Schizosaccharomyces pombe: one gene and its partners. The protein of the gene in region 1 purifies or fractionates together with the protein of each later gene. This does not show direct contact. Each region holds a gene or a part of one and is shown in the gene's direction. Other genes may lie near its edges.

Region 1 (5,910 bases):
GCTGCTTTTTGAGTGAGAAATTAAGACATTATTGACCGCGTCGACTATACACTTAGTTTTGTAATGAGGTGGATGGCGCACCTGTGTATTTTCAAGCAAAGGAATCAAAACTTGCAAATATGCATACCGAAGATCCGAAAGCTCATCGGGAATATTGTTTATTTCGCGTATGAATATATCAATTAGGACATTGAGATCATTGGTATAGAATATCTCATACGTAGCGGGAGTTGTAAAAAGAAGGAATAGTTGTTTTAGTATTAACATTCGAGAGCGTGGATCCTTTTCTCGATTTAGAGTGAAAACTAGGCCTTCACTGTAGATACCGTTATCCACTTTGGAAGAGCTCAGCAAATCCATTATGCCATTTGCGATTTCAAACGAACCTTTGGAAGCAAGCCGAACAAGCATAAACTGTTCATTGATGCTAAGCAATGTCAAGACGCACATTCCAAAACTGTCCATGTCCTCATCATTCCAAGCTTCTTCCGACGTTTTGAATAGGTTTACTAAAAAATATTCATCAATTGCGACTAAGTCGGTCGGTGAAAGTCGTCTCGAGCGACAAATATAGTACACTAAGAATAAAGCATAACGAAAAGATGTAAAAGCAACATTTTCTGAACGATCCTTGAACTGTTTCATTGCCTTGATCAAGACGGGAATGAACCCCGTAGAAGCCAACAAACGCAAGCAGTACTCATTCTCTTGAATTTCGGATTGAAAGACAATGATTATGAATTTCAAAGTTTGTTGTTCTTTCAAGAAAAAAAAGCAATCATAGAAAATACTTAAAACGGCGTTTTCGTCTAGTTGATAAAGCGGACTATTGAGGAACTTTTCCATACATCTCTGCAATTGGAATTCTGTAATTAGGTACGGTTCTATTGAATTTATTTTGTTAGATAAGATGTTCTATAAAGAGACAAACACTCAATTTCTTTGTATTTCATCCATAGGAAAAACACGGAAAATTGTGCTTCCCCAATTCTCCAAAACATTACCTCCATATTTGTTGATAAAAGAAAGAAACTTTGAAACACCAATTTCCAGTTCATTTTTTTCGTATGGTATAGTTAAAAGTTCGTCAATTTCTGTCACCAAATGTTAGCGTCAACGGGAATACTATTTAGCCAGGATAATGAATCCCAGGCACATTCAAGTTTACAATTATGAATAAATTGCATACCCGCCAAAAATTGCTTTTCATTCTCTAAATTATAAAACACATCCGTGAACTCCATGTGGAGGTTAGGGAAGGTTTAATTGCCGCTTTCTCATTATCGAGCCTAGTATTCAATAGACAAAATTCTCGCTAATATCCATCGATAATCAACTTTAATATATGATTAGTAGTCAACACAACAGAGCGTCAATGTTATACCATGAAAACAGTATTGTAGTATTATAGTATACAAATGCATCTGGTTCCCTTTTGGCCATATGTTAAGGTATAAAATATAGTGGAGACACAAATTCAAAAATTCTCAATTATCCTCAATTGAAGAGGCTATAATTTAATTAACGGAGAAAAAACTTAGTTTCTATAGTTAAGAATATCTTGCAACAGTTTCAATCGCGGCAGTCTATTTTACAAGGAATTTACACTGGATTCTCACAAATCCAACTTGCCCATAAGTACACTACCACCAAATAAGTAAAAGGATAAAAACTACCCATCACTAGATTTCATTTTATCGGTTTCTTTATATTTAATCTCTTTAAAGCAAGCATTCCTTATTCTGTGTTGGTTTATTGAAGAAAAGTCGTAGTTTGCTTAAAAAATATTCTGTTATCATGCCTCGTCTTCGAACGTCAAGAACCAAGCGGTATGTATACCAAGTATTTTCCTTGTTACCTTTATTTTTACCTACGAAGTAAGATTCTAATTAGCTATAGCCCTCCTGACGGATTTGATGAAATAGAACCCACCCTTATTGAATTCCAAGATCGTATGCGTCAAATTGAGAATACAATGGGAAAGGGAACTAAGACGGAAATGCTAGCACCGATTTTTCAACTTCATCATCAGCGCAGTCGTTATATATACGATTTATACTACAAACGGGAAGCCATATCTACCGAACTTTACAACTGGCTGCTAAAACAAAATTATGCCGATGGAAATTTAATCGCCAAATGGAAAAAACCAGGATACGAGAAACTTTGTTGTCTGCGCTGTATTCAAACCGCTGAGTCAAAATTTGGTTCAACGTGTATATGTCGTGTACCTAAATCAAAACTTGATAAAGATCAACGTGTGAGATGTACTCATTGTGGTAAGTAAAGAAGTGCTATTGCTACCAGTTGCTAATGAAAATAGGTTGTAATGGTTGTGCAAGCTGTGATTAATTGGAAAACTAGTGGTTCGTTTCCCATTTATATCTTTTTATTTGGTTATTATGGCAAATGAAACAGTTTTGGGTTATAAAATTCATTGATCTATGGCTTTTCCTCGTTTTAGTAAAAAATTATTTTATTCATAAAATGCGCTTCCAAAAAACATGTACCTTGGTTGAATTCTTTCAATTAGTACCTTGCTCACATTCTTCATGAGGAAACCTCATTTGTGGATACCCTGGATTGTAGCCAGTTGTTGGAATTGATTTGCTGTGCGAATGAGCCGATGACTTTTTGAAATTGGTCCATCATTTGTTGCTGAGTCATTTCTGGTTTGACGTTGCTACGCCATTGTCTCATTATATCACGTACAATTGCCATACCTTCTTTTTTAGATTTCACTTCTTGAGTATCCCCTTGGGCTCCAGAGTCTTCAGCTTCTAATTCTGCGGCTTTGTTGCTTGCCATTTCAATAATCTTGGGAGGGAAGTGCGCAAGTTTAGCAACATGGATTCCAAAACTCCGATCACTAGCTCCTTCACAAACATTATAGAGTAAAGCTACATCCTTCGATTCTGAATCACCTACATAGGCTGTAACATGCAAATTTTTGACAGTAGTGATTTCTTCTGATAGTTTGGTCATTTCATGATAATGTGTTGCGAAAAGGCAAAAGCAACCGATTTGAGTCACGATGTGTTCTGTAATAGCCCACGCTAATCCAAAACCATCGGTTGTGCTAGTCCCTCGTCCTAATTCATCAATGATGATTAAGGATCGCGGTGTGGCAGCTCTCAAAATCGTAGCGGTCTCCAACATTTCGGCCATGAAAGTAGAAATGCCTTTAAGCTGTGAGTCGCTGGCTCCGACACGTGCAAGGATAGCATCAATAATATCTAGATCAGCCACTTCACAAGGCACTGGACAACCAATCTGTGCCATGACGGTAATAACTCCAACTTGACGGATATACGTTGATTTTCCACCCATATTTGGTCCGGTTATGATTAATAGCTCTGAACTTCCATGCTCAAGATTAACATCATTGGGTATGAACTTCACATCGTCCTGAGCTTCCAAACAAGGATGTCGCGCTTGTTTTAGGTAGAGACGAGCACAATGATTATTTTCTAGAGTTCTTCGTATTTCTTCAAAATTAGGAGTATCTTCTAATGAAACAATGTCCAAAATATTGCTACTTTGTCCATGCTTTTCTTGTGCAATGCTTGAATCCACAATATTTGGTCTTACATAAGGTATTACAGCTACCGTACTTGCATGTGCGAAACTTAGAATCACGTCCAAATGAGCAATTACTTGGCCAATCGCCTCCAAAGGAGGACCGTATGTTGCAGCTATCTTTATAACTTCACGTGCAAGCCCATTTTGGTGGTACCGGTAGCTTTTTTGGTGATCCATATAAGAATTGTTTAGTGAATGAAGACGTTTAGTGGTAAAGTAGACTCCATTTTTTTGAGTTGATAATTCTGTATAATGAGAACTACGGCCTCTTAAACAGCCAGCTTCTGTTCTAGTAAGGCGTAGACACCATCCATAGAGGTGATGTTGCTCAAGATGTAATTTTTTCTCGGTATCTTGGTGGAGATCTGAACCGACCCTTTTATGTTCTTCAAAGATAGAATGCTGTAATTCGTCTAATCGTTGACGCAAATCTAATAGCTCCTCATCAAACTCTGCACGGATAATATACTGATGTGAATCCAATGCTTCCAAGTCGATGGTGGTTTCAACAAGCTCTATTAATTTTTCCAAGTTTTTGCAATGATTGTTAAGGACGTTCGTGTATACTTTATCCACCAAATCTTTATGTTCACTAGTCAAAGAGTCAAGTACCGTAACGATCTTCGGAAGTGCCTTTGCCATTTGATAAATACGTACAACATCTTCTAGACTAGCTGATCCACGAGTTAAACGCCTGCATAGTTTAGGAATATCTGGAATTGAACGAAGAAGATGATCATCATCAAGCAATAACTGGCGTGCCTCAGCATCTTCCACAAGTGCGGAGACCAAGTCATGTCTTCGTTCAATTGATTTTGCATCCAAAAGTGGCTGAACAATCCATCTTCTTAAATTCCTTGCTCCCATCGCAGTTCTACAATGATTAAGTAAACCATAAAGACTCATTGTTTTATGAGCATTACCATTGGGAGGAGGAAGTAGGTTAAGAGAACGAACTGCTGCAATATCTAATCGCATGTATTGTTCCAAGTTGTGATGATACAGATGGAGCTTTCGAGATGTGTTTTCACGGTCGTCTTCCATGTCAGGGTTTAGTAACGCAGGTCCTAAATAGCGAAGCAATGCATTGCAGGATGCCATTGCTAATTGTAGACCTAGTTCTGGAACAAGAGCATGTGTAACTGGACTGTCGAGCACTTTTGAGAGCTCAAGTTCAACATCTCGAGCCGAAAATTCAGAGCTTCTTATAGTTGTAACTAATGCGCCACAACCTTCAATAATATTTCGAAGACGATTGATTTCTGCCGTGTTAATAGAAACGGCTGAATTGCCATTCGTCGATTCATGCCCAGATTGCGATATTATGCACTCTTTCGCTCCAACTTGCACTATGAGAGCTTCAAAGTTCGTATAAGCATCTGAGTCAACAAATTCTGAAACACCTAATTTTTTTAAAATTGGATCTATAAAAGCAACGCCAATTATTCGCTGATCTTGTTTAACCCTAGTAGTAACAGCCAACAAAACCGAACTAACTGAGCTATCACTAATGGCTGTGGATTCTTGATAATTCTCACTAACAAGCAAATCTTCCAGCATTTGCATATTTCCAGGACTAGCTTGCTTCAACAATTCAAATCCTGTCTTTGCGGAATTGGCTCCCCAAATTTCAACTCTCTTTGCAAGGTTGCTTAAAACATCTTCCGCAAACTTAATAAATAGTGAAGGAGATAAGTTACAATAAGATGTATTAGACACATTGTGGTGTTTTAGCACCGAAGTAGTGTGATACGCGTTTTGAGCAACAAACGAAGCGTCTTCTCCTATTGCAACGTAAAATTCCTAGAAAACAGTGTTAGATTGGATTAAAAAATAATAATATTTCAAGTTATTTTTTACGAAGTTTAAGTAAATTTTTCTATTCATCAATACTTACCCCTCGATCAAATACACGCACTGTGTTTGTATCTTTAGGCATTTTTTCATAAAAATTAAACATCCTTGCCTCATCAGTTCTTTCTGTTTTAAAATATTAGTTCAAAGAAGTAACCCCTTGACAAACCATTAGCAATTGAAGCGTTTCTAGAAGACATATTGATTGAATGTTCTAAAGCGCGAACGCGAAATGTATAAAACAGGAGAAGAAACTCCTTGCCACAGTTAAGTCCTCAAAAAGGATAAATAAAAAACCTCAAAAAAAGGAATAGATTTAAAGAATGTTAAATAACGAAGGACCGACGTCGAAAGTAACACAGTGGGAGATTGGTAGCTGCCAAAGTTATATGACACAGAACTAGTCAAACATACTAAAAAATTCATCTAAGCTAATAAATTGAATCTTAAAAATTAATCTATTTAATTAAATGC
Region 2 (7,898 bases), on another chromosome or scaffold:
ATTTCATCATTCATAGCTTGCATTTTTCCCGGTGGTAGCGGGTAATTTCTGATAGGTAATCTGTAGTTTTCTTGAGTTAGTTCAACTTCAAATTCTAACCCTTTTATTGGCTTTGGTAGCTTTTCCGTATTGGTTTCTGCAGTAATGTCTTTGAATTCTTTATAGATATCTGGTAACTCAGGTTCCTTGACAATATTTGAAACTTTGTTCATTTGAGAGAGCGTGTGTTTACTGCTAGATATTTCAATGTTATTGTCATATAATGTTGTGAAGGAGATAGCAGCTGGATGCGAAAATTTCTTTACAACCAAGAATTCTGTTTTGATTGATATTCCATTTAGACTTATGTTAAGTTTTATTGTTTTGCGATTAATCTTATTTGGATAAACTCCACCATATATCACACTTTTTGACCAGGGTCTGGTAGGCAGTTTATGTGCTCGAACAGTTTCTTCTGTTATAATATTTGCTTGAGCGCCCGTATCGATTAGACAGGGTATTGAGCACTTGAAGTCTGGAAGTTCAGCTTGTAATACCATTTCGTAACGTTTCCTAGTATGATTTAGGAATTTGTTAGATGAGTATTCTATTCTCGAAACATTTGTCTTCCTCAGGTTTCTGCTATTAGTGGTGTTATTTTTCTTTGAAAGGGACTCTTTTCCTAGATTTTTATTTTGCAGTTGAAAACGCTTGTGAGTTTTACCATACGAGGCTGTTCTTTTGTCCTCTAAAAAGTCATAAATTTCACTGATTTCTGATTTCCAGTAATTTCTTTCCTTTAATTTCCTTAAGGAATATGGCAGCATCCATAATATAAACAAGCGAGTATGGAAATCATCAACATTTGCTTTTGACATGAGTTTCCTTATAAATTGAACTTTGTCCAATTGATTTCTAAAACCTTCAAATGTTTTAGTTAAACGATCACCTTTGTTGGATCCTTGTACTTTCCCTGTTTGTCTGAGTAATTCTTGCCATGTAAGACTTCCATTCTCAGAAAACATGCGTTCAGCGAATTGTTGCTCTAATTCTTCTAGGTGATTCAATGTATACTGTCTTTTAGTATGCTCATTTGGGAATAATGAAGGGTATTCAGTAAAGTGTTGATCAAGTTTTGAAATGTAACTTTCAACATCCTTATTAGGATCGAATTTCCCTATCTCTGGTACATGCTTCGATAATATTTTTGCAAAAAGGTTTATTAAATGTTCGTCTGATGTTTGAATTCCATCCAAATTCTCTGGTCTCCATCGTTTTGCTCTTGCTTTCATATAACGATAATTTGCGTAGGACATTGTATATGTTTCCCTTTGGGAGATTTCAAAAGGGATAACAGTCCTTCCAAAGTTCTTTCTCCTTTGAACCCAGAAGGAGAGAAATATATATATTTATGATATATATTTATTCAATAATTCCTTTTTCCTAAAAGGAGTTAATTGTAGATCACAAGAGTTCAGTTATTGTAAGCTACGCAGTTTGGTATCTGATTTAAGGATACGTAGAACTGCGGTGAGCTTTCCTTGTGATCTATTATATTACAATACACAGGTTGTATAAGTAGCAACTGAGTATAGGTATTGTATTAACTGGGTTATAATGTTACCTATCACTAATATAGCTCATAACTGAACTGAGGAACGAGGTTCAGCAGTAGCTCTATTTATAGTATTCAGATAATATTGATCTTAATAGATTATCATTAAGATCAATCTCCATATCGTATCATACATGGTACGATATATAATTAGAACATGTGACATATAGTGATACTCAACGTAGTGTATTATAGCGTAGTGTAGTATTGCTGACAGAAATGAACACTTCTAATACCTCGAAGTAGACGAAAATTGAAAATTCAGTTTATCCTCCGCCACTCACAATCATGTCGAGTGCACATCCTAAAGGGGACTCGAAAGAGCCTCCCAAACATGGAAATAGTAAGGAGAAGCCAAACTATGGTCAATCACAGTATAGTTATTCTGCAATGTCAAATTTGGTTACGCAGGCTGATCGAAGATTTGTGTCACGACGTGATGCTGAACCTACAGGCGAACCGGAATCTCTGGTAAATCGAGTTAGTATTGCAGATATGGGTTCTAGAGCGAGAATTGAAAAACCTAGTACCCTTCCTCTCGAATTGACGCAGGAAGTTCAGGAGGTCCGGTTACCTCGTAAAGATGCAGAATCCTTAGAAATTGGTATACGGCAACCTGAACGCGAAAAGCGCTCTTCAGCGATACTTAAATATTTTGATTCTTTTGAAATTTTGAAATATAATCCTCTAACCGACGAGACCCGAGAAGTTTATGATTATATCTTGAGTTTCATTCAACAATACCTTGGCGATCAGTCTCCTGAAATCCTCCGTTCTGCTGCTGATTTGATTATTGAACTTCTTAAGGATAGTTCTTTAGATGAACAAGGTCGTAAAAAGCAAATAGAGGAGGTTTTGAGTACTGAACTCCCACAGGATCGGTTTTCACAGCTCGTTAACTTGGGAAATCGCTTAACAGATTATACAGTTGAGCAAGAAGAAGAGTTAAATGAAGAAGGCGTTAATGAATCTGGCGTACCAGTATTGTTCAATGAAGCCGATGAAGAGGAAGAAGCTGTTGAGGCAATGGAAGAGGATGAAGTGGCAGAAGATGAAGACGTCGTCTTAGAAACTTCCATATCTCAAGAAGAAGAGAAAAAGAATATTGAAAATCCGGATACAGAGGTTACATTTATTTCTGCTGATACCAAAAAAGTTACCGAAATACCCACTGTTCATCCTCGTGAAATCGATGCATTTTGGCTGCAACGAGAAATAGCAAAATATTTTGCTGACGCCGTCGTTTGTCAGGAAAAAACAAATCAAGCGTTTGAGGCACTTTCGGCTGATTACGATCTCGGTGAATTGGAAAATGAATTGATGAGTATTTTTGATTATGAACATTTCTATCTTGTTCAACTTTTGACTAAGAATCGTTGGACAATAGTTTCGTGTACAATGTTAAAACGCGCCGCTACTGATGAAGAACGCTTAGGTGTGGAAGAGCAAATTCGTGCTGCTGGTCGGTCTTGGATTCTCGAAGCTCTACGCCCTGGTGCTATCACTATACCTGATGACGGTTTAAATGAATTAAATAATAATGTTGTTGAGAAAGCTGAACCTGCGCCCGTTTCTGAAATTCCACTTTCGAAAACTTTGACTTCCCATAAAATTGTACCTAAGCACCAAGTTGATCTAGAAAATTATGTGTTTACTGAGGGATCACGTCTCATGTCTAATAAAGCTGTCAAGCTACCTGAAGGCTCGTTTCGTAGGACTGGTAAAGGGTATGAAGAAATACATGTTCCTGCCCCCAACAAAGCCGTACTTGGCGCTGACGAGCGTCTTGTAAAAATCAAGGAACTGCCTGAATGGTCTCATCAAGCTTTTCTTAATACTCAATCTTTAAACCGAATCCAAAGCCATCTTTATCCTATCGCTTTTGGTACTGACGAAAACATCCTTTTATGCGCTCCTACTGGTGCTGGAAAAACAAATGTAGCAATGCTATGTATCCTTAACGAATTACAAAAACATTTACGTGAAGATCTTAGCTTTAACTTACAAAATTTTAAAATTGTTTACATTGCTCCCTTGAAGGCGTTGGTACAAGAGATGGTTAATAATTTCTCAAAGAGGCTTACTCCATACAATATTCGAGTCGCAGAGTTAACTGGTGATAGTCAATTGACTAAACAACAAATTAGTGAAACTCAAATAATTGTAACCACACCCGAGAAGTGGGATATTATAACTCGAAAAGCTAATGATTTATCTTATGTCAATCTAGTCCGTTTAGTTATTATTGATGAGGTTCATTTGCTTCATGATGAACGAGGTCCTGTATTAGAATCTATAGTTGCTCGTATATTTCGCCATCAGGAGGAAACTCTTGAACAAGTTCGATTAGTAGGTTTGTCTGCTACACTTCCTAATTATACCGATGTTGCCAGTTTTTTACATGTCGACCCTAAAAAAGGGCTTTTTTACTTCGATTCGACATATCGTCCATGCCCTTTAAAGCAAGAATTTATAGGCATTACAGAAAAAACACCGTTTAAACGAATGCAGACGACTAATGAAGCTTGTTATGAAAAAGTTATGCAACACGCTGGCAAAAACCAGGTCCTCATATTTGTACATTCGCGCAAAGAAACCGCTAAAACCGCTCGTTTTATAAGAGATAAGGCACTAGAGGAAGAGACCATCGGTCATTTGTTACGCTCTGATGCCGCATCCCGTGAAATTCTTCGGGCTGAAGCCGACTCTACCAGTGATGAAAATTTGAAAGATTTGCTCCCATATGGGTTTGCCATACATCATGCTGGTATGCGACGAGAGGATCGCCAAACGTCTGAAGACCTTTTTGCCGATGGTACTATACAGGTACTAGTGAGTACGGCAACTCTGGCTTGGGGCGTAAACTTACCAGCGCACACAGTGATCATCAAAGGGACCCAAGTTTATTCTCCTGAAAAGGGTATCTGGACAGAACTCTCTCCTCAGGATGTTTTGCAAATGCTTGGCAGAGCTGGTCGCCCACAATTCGACACATATGGTGAAGGAATTATCATTACCGCCCACTCTGAGTTACAGTATTATCTATCACTAATGAATCAGCAGCTTCCAATTGAGTCTCAATTTATGCGCCGTCTAGCTGATTGTTTAAATGCCGAAGTATCGTTAGGAACTGTTCGTAGTATCGAAGATGGCGTAGACTGGCTTGGTTATACATACCTCTATGTTCGAATGTTACGATCCCCTGCCCTATATAGCGTCGGCCCAGAGTATGATGATGACAAATATCTTGTTCAAAAAAGAGCTGACTTACTTCATTCAGCTGCCATTTTATTAGAAAAATGCAAGTTACTAGTGTATAATCGTCAGAGTGGTACGTTGACCGCTACGGAATTGGGAAAAGTTGCTGCAAGTTATTACGTTACTCATAACTCGATGGCCATATATAATCGTCTTTTAATGCAGACAACATCCTTTATCGAGTTATTTCGAGTCTTCAGTTTTTCTGATGAATTTAAGCACATTCCTGTCCGTGAAGAAGAGAAAGTTGAACTCGCGAAGTTGCTGGAAAGAGTACCAATTCCTATTAGGGAAAGATTAGATGAACCTGCTGCCAAGATTAATGCCCTTCTCCAATCATATATATCAAGACAACGCCTGGATGGATTTGCACTTGTGGCAGACATGGTATACGTTACGCAATCAGCGGGTAGAATTATGCGTGCAATATTCGAGATATCATTGAGACGTGGTTGGTCATCTGTTGCAACACTCTCTCTTGATACATGCAAAATGATTGAGAAAAGGCTTTGGCCAACTATGAGCCCCCTTCGACAGTTTCCCAATTGTCCTTCTGAAGTAATACGCCGCGTTGAGAAAAAGGAATTTCCTTGGCAGCGATACTTTGATCTGGACCCTGCTGAATTAGGAGAATTAGTAGGGGTGCCAAAAGAAGGGAGGCGTGTGTACAACATGGTTCAGTCTTTTCCAAGGTTGAGCGTCGAAGCACATGTTCAACCTATCACAAGATCGCTTGTGCGGGTCGAACTTGTTATAAATTCTCAGTTCAACTGGGATGATCATTTAAGCGGCACTTCTGAAGCTTTTTGGATCCTTGTAGAAGACGTGGACGGGGACCGATTGCTACATTATGAACAATTTTTCCTTCTTAAAAAATACAAAGATGATGAGCATATTGTAAATTTTACAGTACCTTTGTTAGAACCTCTTCCTCCTTGTTACTTTATAAAGATAGTTTCAGATCGATGGTTACACTCGATAACTAAGGTACCTCTTTCATTTCAGCGCCTGATAATGCCAGAAAAATTTCCTGCGCCAACACCTCTTCTTGATCTTCAGAACGCCCCGGTCTCTAGTCTTAATAACCCAAGCTTCATTTCCCTCTACCCTAATTTTAAATTTTTTAACAAGATTCAAACACAGGTGTTTAACTCTGTTTATAAAACCAACGATAGTGTTTTTATTGGTGCTCCCAATGGAAGTGGAAAGACTGTTTGTGCCGAACTTGCTTTGTTACATCATTGGAGTCAAGAAGATTATGGTACTGCAGTTTACATTGCCCCAATTCAGGAAATCGTTGATCGTCGATATGAAGAATGGTATGGCAAGTTTTCTGACCTCGGTGATGGGAAAGTTTTGGTAAAATTGACGGGTGAGCGTTCACAAGACTTGAAGCTGATACAAGTTGCTGACTTGATATTTTGCACGCCATCGCAATGGGACTCATTGTCGAAGAGATGGAGAAGTATGCGAAGCATTCAGAAAGTTGATTTTTATATATGTGATGAATTACAATTGCTTGGTGGATTTTATGGTCCATTATACGAAATAGTGATCTCACGGATACGGTACATGGCAGTACAATTAGAAAAAAATATCCGAGTGGTTGGCCTTTCAGTATCTGTTGCTAATGCTCGAGATTTGGGTGAGTGGCTTGGGACTAGTCCACAATGCATATTTAATTTTAGTCCTAAAGACAGGCCTAATCCTCTTACTATTCATTTGCAATCATTCAGTATTACTCATTTCCCTTCCCTTATGTTGGCTATGAGCAAGCCTATATATCGCAGCTTGAAGAACTTTATTTCTCAGAGAAAGTCTACTATTGTATTTACTCCTGACAGGAAAGTAGCGAAACAATTAGCTTTTGATTTAGTTACATTCAGTATGGCTGATGAAGATGAGTATTTGTTTTCGTTAATGGAGAATGAAGCTTTCAATAAAGTTGAAGATGCTGCCTTGCAGCAATCATTGAAGCATGGTATTGCTTATATTAGTGAAATCACATCGTCCAATGATCAGAATATTGTACAATATCTTTACCGTCATGGACTTATCAAGGTTTTGATAGCTTCTCGCGATGTTATTTATTCCTTAAAAGCAAAATCAAACGCTGTTATTGTGATGGGTACTCAATACTATGATGGCAAAGAACATCGTTATATTGATTATCCTATAAGTGAGTTATTACAAATGCTCGGGTTTACTGCTAGCATTGGATCAAGTGAGCTTAGCCAGGTTATTCTTATGACTGTCACTACTAAGAAGGAATATTACAAGAAATTTTTAAATGAGCCATTACCCATGGAAAGCCATCTTCAAGTTTGGCTGCACGATGCTTTCGTGTCAGAAATATCTACGCAAACCATTGAAAGCAAACAAGATGCTGTAGATTGGCTTACATGGTCGTATATGTACCGGAGACTAGTTGCCAATCCTGCCTATTATGGTCTTCAAGATATCACTCATGAGTCGGTTTCTGAATTCCTTTCGGATCTTGTAGAAACAACCATGAATGATTTGAGTGAGGCACGCTTAATCACTGTAGACGATGAGGATGATAGTTGTGTCGCATTAAATTTAGCAATGATAGCTTCTCATTACGGAATTACATACATTACTATGCAAACGTTTGCTTTGAGCTTGTCAGAGCGCACGAAGATGAAGGGATTACTAGAAATTGTTACATCAGCAGCAGAATATGAGCAACTCCCAATTCGAAAGTATGAAGATATTGTGCTGGAGCGAATTCATTCCCGCCTGCCTGTTCGCTTAAGTAATCCTAACTATGAAGATCCTCATACGAAATCATTTATTCTTCTTGCAGCTCATTTTTCTAGATTTGAATTGCCTCCTGGTTTAGTTATAGATCAGAAATTCATTTTGACTAGGGTACATAATCTTCTGGGCGCTTGTGTTGATACATTGTCTTCCGAAGGCCATTTAATAGCTTGTATTAGACCAATGGAGATGTCGCAAATGGTTACGCAAGCTTTATGGGATCGTGATAGTCCTTTAAAACAGATACCCTATTTCGACGACGCTT
Region 3 (3,048 bases), 1.8 Mb from region 1:
GGTTGAGTCATCAGAATCATTATCCCTCTGATCATTTCGGACACTAGTAGAAACGGTTGCCGCTCGATTCCTACGAAAGTGAAACAAATTTTTCAGTTTATCTGAAAAGTGCGACTGGCTCATACCATCATCGGTGGAAGAGGGACTTTTGTCATTAAATTCAGTTTCTCGAGCCATTCTAAGTCATCCATTAATCTCGTAGCGCTTCAAACATTCACCGGTTAATAAATTTCGCTGACGGCTCACTTATAATACCTAATATAAATCAGAATGTAAGCAAACTTGAAAAACGACTTCAAAGCTCCCAAATAGTCTAATATAACTAGCCGAATGGTATTCCTCCTGCTTATATTAATTCTTGTTTCATTTGGAGGTGTCGGCAAAAGAATAGTTAGTGGAGCCACGGCCATCCTTATGTTATATAATCCTCTTTTTAAGCATATAGAAATAAACAGTCATATTGTAGCATTAACTAACAAGCAGCTTCAAAATACTTAGTTGAAGCTATTGTAAATAAAAGAAAAAACTTGTTTTTGGTTTTTATGTGTGGGTATTGATCTGTAGTTTTGTAGTAAATTCAGTTTGAATAATTCTTACTGGAACAGAATAAGTGTTAGAATAAATGCAGTGATTTTTAATTTCATATTCTCAAGAGTGACTGTATGATTTATAAGTACACGAGCTATGGAAGCACAACATTTAATCATGTATTTCTTCCACTTTCAACTACAAAAGAGGCTACTCTAAACCCAAACATTATCCGAAATGTCGATGTACATTTGTCGATATCGCTGGCATTTTCAATTAGTCCGACTCATGTGGTATTAGTATGAGGATGGATAGTTGATTCGATATTAGAAGCTGTCATATCAATTTAAATATAATTTCTTAGCAGTGCTTTCATTGAGATAGAGCAATACGATAGAAACAATCTGAAGAATTCATTAAAACTGTTACATTAAAAAACGACTTGATGTCAATATTGTTTTTGGAATGTTTTTCATTAAATGAGAAAACAAAAAGATATAGCAGTTTAGTAAGTATCTCAATGCAATTTTTTAATAGGAAAACAGGTTCCTTAAGCAACTCTGAATAATTGTAAATAACCTGGTTTCAAACTTTCGTTGGCGGTTTGTGCTCACGAAGTCAAATAGGGAGGCAGTATGAACATTATAGATGAGTTGAACTAAAACTTTGAGTGGAAAACAATGTGTGTTTCATCCAAATAGTCGATTGCTTGTGTTTGTTTTTGAGAGCTCAACAGATAAAAGAGTGTGTACCAATTTCTGACAAACTTAAGATATATATTTGACAACAATGAAAAAATGTTTTATTTAAAGGTGTCAAAACACACATATACAAAAATCATTTATTCTCTGTTTTCCCAAGAATTTTCTAGTACGAAAGCCGATTCTTGAACATGGAAGTCGTCAGTCAATTATCAAAGTATAATTACGCATAATTTGTTTTTTTTAAATCTAAAAAGTAGAAAAAGTGAGTATTTTTTGCTTATTGAGTCAAGATTTCTTTGTATTTATTTATGTGCTTACTATCCAAACTCTACCACTTTGCTTCTTCTCTTGACGTGTCATATTCTTGGTTTTTACATAATTAACTTTACATTATTAGATTCTAAAACGTTAACTATAACATTTTTTGAATAAACAATAGTGAAATTTAGGATTGTGAGCGTTTTGGATAATTTTTTAGGAATTTTAAATCATACTGCAGTAACAGCATAAAAAAGGCATTTTCATTACAAAAATTTCATGCGTCTTAATGCTGAATTTTTGTCTCAGGTACCCTCATTCATCAGTCCTTTGAAAGAAACTGAGCTTGATTTAAGATATGTTTAAAGAAATTACTGTATGCTACGTGTCATCCAGCTAACTCATAATTACAGGGTATCAGATTCCAATAATTGAAAATTTAGGAGTGTTAAGGGACGTACACGATGCAATTGATTTCACAGACAATGACATTCGATATTTAGGGAATTTCCCTCGTATGAAAAGGCTTCAAACGCTTTTGTGTGGAAATAACCGAATAACTGCTATAGCCCCAGACATAGGTAAAGTTCTTCCGAATTTAAAGACTTTATCCCTAGCACAAAATCATCTTCAAGAAATAGCAGATTTAGATCCGTTGGCTAGTTGTCCTCAACTCACTAATTTGTCGTGCATTGACAATCCAGTTGCTCAAAAACAATATTATAGATTATATCTTATATGGAGAATTCCTTCGTTACATATTTTAGATTTCGAACGGGTTAGAAGAAATGAAAGGCTTCGTGCTGAAGAAGTGTTTGGTCAAATTCAAAACCCTACAGAAATAGCTTCCTCTATTATGGGTGTGAAAAGTCGAGTATTTGATTTGGCTGCATTGGTACAAAGCCACCCAGAAGCGAATTCTCCTATTACAACTGGATATACACTTACACCTGAGGAAAGAGAAAAGATCAAAGAAGCCATTAAAAATGCCTCTTCCATTGCTGAGATAAATCGACTGGAAGCTATGCTATTAGAGGGGAAAATTCCAAAATAAAGTAACTCACAAGATTTCTAGAAACCGCATAGTTATATAATACATTTTTTCCATCTCATTTCTTGCATTCGATAGGTAACGCGTTTAATAGTTATTTAAGGCATCAAATCGTTAATCGTAAACAAAAACCGTCAATTCTTTAATGCTGTAGCAATTTAGCAATCCTTTCGTTCCTCGTGAGTAATCAGAATTATGCTGTATTCATTAGCTTTAAATAGTAATGATAATCTTACCTTCCAAATATTCCGCAGTGACCAATAATTCTAAAACCATCTCAGGTGGGATATCGAACTTTGGAATATCTAATTGATTTTTATATCTGTAATTGTAATGCAAATATTCACAAACTTTTTCCAACAGTGTTGCCCTAGACACCTTATTAGAATTGAATGAATAGACCAATTGCATACCGTATATCAGGAAATGTGCATTCATTTTTTTGCGCCTCAGAAAATATTCCTATACATTAGAATTACTTTACTAAATATCATTATCAAACCTTCG
Region 4 (5,545 bases), 1.7 Mb from region 1:
CTTGGGATCGATGCGATGTAGTTGCCAGAGGTCAATTTGCTTAACTCCAAGTCGACGCATGCTCATAAGTACTTCTTGACGTAAAAATTTGGGTGCTCCACAAGGATGCCATTCATTTGGACCTGTACGAACAAGGCCACCCTTGGTAGCAATTATAAGTCCTTTGTAAGGGTATAAAGCTTCTCGTAAAAGATTCTCGCTGACCTCAGGGCCGTAAGAATCGGCGGTATCAATAAAGTTAATATTGAGTTCAGGCAAACGTTTTAAAGTTGCGATGCAAGCCTCTTTGTCTTTGGGTTCATCCCATATACCATCACCGGTAACTCTCATTGCTCCGAATCCCATTCTATTGACAACCATGTCGCCAACCTTGACAGTCCCAGCTTGTGAAGCATCTACGGCGGAAGAAGCTGCAGTTTTACTCATTTTTGTGTCTTTTGTCGCTTTTCTTAGAAATCAAGATCAAGTACTATAGTGGATCCGGTAAGTGTGGGATGTCAGACGCCGTTTCCTTTTATAGTAATTTTACATGGTGTATTCCTTACATAAGCTGGATTGATGCGGACTATCTTAAACCACGAAAACTGATTTATTACATACCCTATTTACAGAATCCAGTGGTATGATGTAAGAGCGCGTTAGACAATATATTGTCATAACGATGACTAATACTATTATAGTACGATATTGCTGGTTGGATTTTGAATTAGAGTAAATAGCTAAGTCCTTTTTGATTTGGCTCTTATTCAATTTAATGATAATTTTATGGTTCCAAAATCTGATGCTGGATGAATTGTCTAAACTGTATCTCTGTCTTCTTTTGCCAGCCCATTTTTATTCATGAGCAACGATGGTCGCACATAACGATAATGATCTTTATTGCTATGTTTCTTTCTATTCAAGATAATGTGGATTTATATTTTCCATCTTCTTGAATTATGCTTGATCGTGCTATCAAATCGTACTACGAGTTATCATTTGGAGACCACAAATGGGTTGACCAGTTCCGTAAATCGAGGTAAACATTGCACATAATAACAATTCTAGGACTGTATTTGAAAGGAAACACATTTTTTGAATTTAGTTGATGATGCCAGTATATTATTAGTGTTATTGACATTCAGCAATTTGTTGTGTGTTTTATAAACACACTAAATACTTTGTACAGTTGCAAAACTTGCGCTCTAAAAATGTTTGCACCGCACTTTTACAATGGCTATTTACTCTTACTATTGTCTTCGAAAAGCTTATAAATTTGGCTGCTAAACATGGGTCGGTAGCTCAAATCGTAGACATAACCAGTCTTTTAAGGTCTCAATTACACCCATGTACGACTTTTAAGGAGGAAGTTGGTAAATAAAAAAGTATATTTGGTTTTCAATAATTACGATTCATTCCTTTCTATCAAAATGAGACGATGTCGTTCTTCGGCAACCTTAAAGAGTGTAGTGGAAGTTACTGAGCCGATCATATCTCGTTTAGAGAGTATAAAGACAATGATTTCTCTAGCTCATTATCAAAGCTTAACGAGATATAAATCGCAGTTGAGACATGAATGCGCTAAAGCTCGAAAACTTGGTTACACTTTACTTCAAATTTGGTAATTACCAAAAGTTGTGCATTGTGGGTACTTGGCAGTAACTGATGATGGAAGAGGATTTATATGATGAGTAAGTGGTCTAAAAACATTTTATAGTTATTTCTAACTCGCCAGGTTTGGAAATTACATAGGCCCTGAAAATGAAGAAGATGAAGAGGAGCTGTTTCCTCAGGCTCCTAGCCCTACAATTGCACAGGTACCATCCTTTGAAGAGGTCATTCCTGATGAAGAATTAGAAGACGTTGAAAGGGCCGAGGAAATGGCGTTGAGTCATCTAGAGCCTCAGAATGCCGTTGTTCTTCACGAGGATAAACAATATTATCCTAGCGCTGAAGAGGTATATGGGTCCAACGTGGATATCATGGTTCAGGAACAGGATACTCAACCCTTAAGCCAGCCCATTATTGAGCCAATTCGTCACAAAAGGATTGCTATAGAAACAACAAACGTCCCAGATACTGTATACAAGAAAGAGTAAGTATGTGTAACAATGTCTTTTCTAACTTTTTAAGGTTCCTCTTCGGTCTCTTAACTGGGACAGATGACGTTAGATCTTTTATTGTTGCTGGCCATCTGCATCACGGCAAAAGCGCTTTATTAGATTTACTCGTTTATTATACCCATCCTGACACCAAGCCGCCAAAAAGGCGTTCACTTCGATATACCGACACTCATTATCTTGAAAGAGAACGTGTGATGTCTATAAAAAGTACTCCACTTACGCTCGCAGTTTCTGATATGAAGGGTAAGACGTTTGCATTTCAGTGCATCGATACGCCTGGTCATGTCGATTTTGTTGATGAAGTCGCTGCTCCTATGGCCATAAGTGATGGTGTTGTATTAGTCGTTGATGTTATTGAAGGTGTAAGTTATTCTGGCCTTTTCTTGCGTTTTGAAGATATAAAGATTCTAACATGCTTTAGGTGATGATTAACACCACTAGAATTATCAAACATGCGATTCTTCACGATATGCCAATTGTGCTCGTCTTGAACAAAGTTGATAGGTTAATCCTTGAGCTACGTCTCCCTCCGAATGATGCTTACCATAAACTTCGACACGTTATCGACGAAGTAAACGATAACATTTGCCAGATTAGTAAAGATTTGAAATATCGCGTTTCTCCTGAGTTAGGGAACGTTTGTTTTGCTTCATGTGATCTTGGATATTGTTTTACATTGTCTAGTTTCGCAAAACTCTATATAGATAGACATGGAGGTATCGACGTGGACTTATTTTCTAAAAGATTGTGGGGGGATATTTATTTCGATTCGAAAACCAGAAAATTTGCCAAACAGTCCTTGGATGGCTCTGGCGTTAGAAGCTTTGTCCATTTCATATTAGAACCGTTGTATAAATTACATACCCTTACTATTTCTGACGAAGCCGAAAAACTCAAAAAACACTTATCTTCTTTCCAAATTTATTTAAAACCCAAGGATTATTTATTAGATCCTAAACCACTCTTGCAACTAATTTGCGCATCGTTTTTTGGATTCCCCGTTGGTTTTGTGAATGCAGTTACTAGACATATTCCATCGCCTCGAGAAAATGCCGCTCGTAAAGCCTCTCAATCATATATTGGGCCTATAAACTCTAGTATCGGCAAGGCTATCTTAGAAATGAGTCGTGAGGAATCAGCACCATTAGTCATGCATGTTACTAAACTTTACAACACCGTCGATGCTAATAATTTTTATGCATTTGCTCGTGTATATAGTGGTCAGGTTAAAAAGGGTCAGAAAGTTAAAGTTCTTGGAGAAAATTATTCTTTAGAAGACGAAGAGGATATGGTGGTTGCTCATATTGCTGAAATATGTGTACCTTGCGCACGATATCGTCTTCACGTTGATGGAGCTGTTGCCGGCATGCTAGTTCTTTTAGGAGGTGTTGATAACTCTATTAGCAAAACAGCAACCATCGTTTCGGACAATTTGAAAGATGATCCTTACATTTTCAGGCCAATTGCTCACATGTCCGAGAGTGTTTTCAAGGTGGCTGTAGAGCCACACAATCCATCAGAATTACCAAAACTACTTGATGGCCTACGAAAAACAAACAAAAGCTACCCACTATCTATCACAAAAGTAGAAGAATCTGGGGAACATACTATTTTCGGTACTGGTGAGATGTATATGGATTGTCTACTTTATGATCTTCGGACTTTATACTCTGAAATCGAAATCAGAGTTTCCGATCCAGTTGCTCGTTTCTGTGAGACTGCGGTGGACACATCAAGTATCAAGTGTTTTTCAGATACTCCAAATAAAAAAAATCGTATCACAATGGTAGTTGAGCCATTGGAGAAAGGAATTTCTAATGACATTGAAAATGGAAAAGTTAATATCAATTGGCCTCAAAAAAGAATCAGCGAATTTTTCCAAAAGAACTACGATTGGGACTTACTAGCTTCACGTTCCATCTGGGCTTTTGGTCCCGATGATCGTGGTACGAATATATTGCGGGATGATACTCTTAGTACAGATGTTGATAAAAACGTGCTTAATAGCGTAAAAGAATACATTAAACAAGGTTTTCAATGGGGGACTAGGGAAGGTCCTCTATGTGATGAGACAATCCGAAACGTGAATTTTCGCCTGATGGATGTAGTGCTTGCACCTGAACAAATTTATCGAGGAGGTGGTCAAATTATTCCAACCGCAAGGAGAGTGTGTTATTCTTCTTTTTTAACAGCGTCTCCACGGCTAATGGAACCAGTGTATATGGTTGAAGTACATGCCCCCGCTGACAGTCTTCCTATTATTTATGATTTATTAACGCGTCGTCGTGGTCATGTCCTCCAAGATATCCCTCGGCCAGGTTCCCCATTATATTTGGTGAGAGCACTTATTCCAGTCATTGATTCTTGTGGATTTGAAACAGATTTACGAGTGCATACTCAGGGTCAAGCTATGTGTCAAATGGTATTTGATCATTGGCAGGTAGTACCTGGTGATCCACTGGATAAGTCTATCAAGCCCAAGCCATTAGAACCCGCACGTGGCTCTGATTTGGCGAGAGACTTTCTGATTAAGACAAGACGTAGAAAAGGTCTGGTGGAAGATGTTTCTACAACTCGCTATTTCGATCAAGAAATGATTGATTCTTTGAAAGAAGCAGGTGTCGTACTCTCTTTGTAATGTCGGTTTTAAGTCTTTATAATGGATTTTGCAAAAAAAAATAAATTGGGTAGATTTTAATAATAAAGTATACGATTATTTATGAAAGTTCGAGAAGTCTAACAACTTTTTTTTGCTTTCAAATCTCGCGTTTACAGTGTATGAAATCCGAAAAATCAGCGCATATCTTGAAGCCGTAAATTATTTGTGAAATCCTTGATCAGAAGGAAAAGTCGCATTTTGGTTTTACGATTTTAGTATATAGATAAATAACTTCTATTATTTATTTTTTTATGTTAAGAAACTAACACTCAACTGAAATAACGTAATTTCATAGTACTATAAACACCCGAGGTCATATGTCATGAAGTTACCCTCTCAGTATACCGGAAGACTTTAGGGACATATACAACTTCCGGAAGTGCTCTGCTTTTGGAAGTAAAATACAGCGAGTTTAGTTAGATTAGTTTATTATTATCCTTAAAACTGAAGATGGGTTTGAGACTTTTGTTTTCTCTCATTTGCGTATTTTGCATATCGAACATTTTTACGCAAGCCTTCTTGGTGCATCAAATATATGGTAATTCCAGCTTCACAAAAATATCTTTAAATCAACTTGAGGGCAGAGATTCTCAAGAGGAACTACAAAGGCGTCAGGAAATCCGATATTATGGTCGTGCCGCTGAAACTGGAGGAACTCCTACTTACTACGGGTATGCGACACCCACTAGCTCTAGTGAACCCAGTATCTTTTCTGAATCTGCTACTCCCTCAGAAACTAATTCTTACTCGTCTCCGGTCAGCTCTTATTCTGATCCCGCAACTA

Evidence for each region.
Region 2: the proteins of cwf14 (region 1) and brr2 purify together in Schizosaccharomyces pombe (affinity purification with mass spectrometry; 2 studies listed by BioGRID). This does not show direct contact.
Region 3: the proteins of cwf14 (region 1) and lea1 purify together in Schizosaccharomyces pombe (affinity purification with mass spectrometry; 2 studies listed by BioGRID, with this or other methods). This does not show direct contact.
Region 4: the proteins of cwf14 (region 1) and cwf10 purify together in Schizosaccharomyces pombe (affinity purification with mass spectrometry; 3 studies listed by BioGRID, with this or other methods). This does not show direct contact.

What each region holds. Positions count from the first base shown.
Region 1 is NC_003423.3:2,341,907-2,347,816, forward strand, and holds cwf14 (G10 protein), read left to right. Parts: upstream 1-1,634; 5' UTR 1,635-1,797; coding exon 1,798-1,829; exon of another isoform or gene 1,830-1,899; coding exon 1,900-2,279; exon of another isoform or gene 2,280-2,323; coding exon 2,324-2,352; 3' UTR 2,353-2,550; coding exon of another isoform or gene 2,551-5,385; 3' UTR 5,386-5,394; downstream 5,395-5,910. Other genes in the region: endocytosis protein Dip1, read right to left, coding at 1-884, 1,005-1,094, 1,190-1,244; msh2 (DNA mismatch repair protein), read right to left, coding at 2,551-5,385, 5,480-5,562, 5,606-5,636. UniProt on the Schizosaccharomyces pombe protein: Involved in mRNA splicing where it associates with cdc5 and the other cwf proteins as part of the spliceosome.
Region 2 is NC_003424.3:1,459,244-1,467,141, reverse strand, and holds the start of brr2 (U5 snRNP complex subunit Brr2), read left to right. Parts: upstream 1-1,862; 5' UTR 1,863-1,882; coding exon 1,883-7,898. Other genes in the region: Tf2-1 (retrotransposable element/transposon Tf2-type), read right to left, coding at 1-1,295. UniProt on the Schizosaccharomyces pombe protein: Involved in pre-mRNA splicing. May be involved in endoplasmic reticulum-associated protein degradation (ERAD) and required for growth at low and high temperatures. Required for pre-spliceosome formation, which is the first step of pre-mRNA splicing.
Region 3 is NC_003423.3:4,144,785-4,147,832, reverse strand, and holds lea1 (U2 snRNP-associated protein Lea1), read left to right. Parts: upstream 1-1,562; 5' UTR 1,563-1,769; coding exon 1,770-1,850; intron 1,851-1,911; coding exon 1,912-2,544; 3' UTR 2,545-2,548; downstream 2,549-3,048. Other genes in the region: serine/threonine protein kinase Ppk22, read right to left, coding at 1-177; elc1 (elongin C), read right to left, coding at 2,735-2,739, 2,778-2,911, 2,955-3,003, 3,044-3,048.
Region 4 is NC_003423.3:4,050,957-4,056,501, forward strand, and holds cwf10 (GTPase Cwf10), read left to right. Parts: upstream 1-1,599; 5' UTR 1,600-1,644; coding exon 1,645-1,670; exon of another isoform or gene 1,671-1,714; coding exon 1,715-2,074; intron 2,075-2,112; coding exon 2,113-2,464; exon of another isoform or gene 2,465-2,523; coding exon 2,524-4,740; 3' UTR 4,741-5,023; downstream 5,024-5,545. Other genes in the region: SPOM_SPBC215.11C (aldo/keto reductase family protein), read right to left, coding at 1-426; protein Mtl3, read left to right, coding at 5,212-5,545. UniProt on the Schizosaccharomyces pombe protein: Component of the U5 snRNP complex required for pre-mRNA splicing. Binds GTP.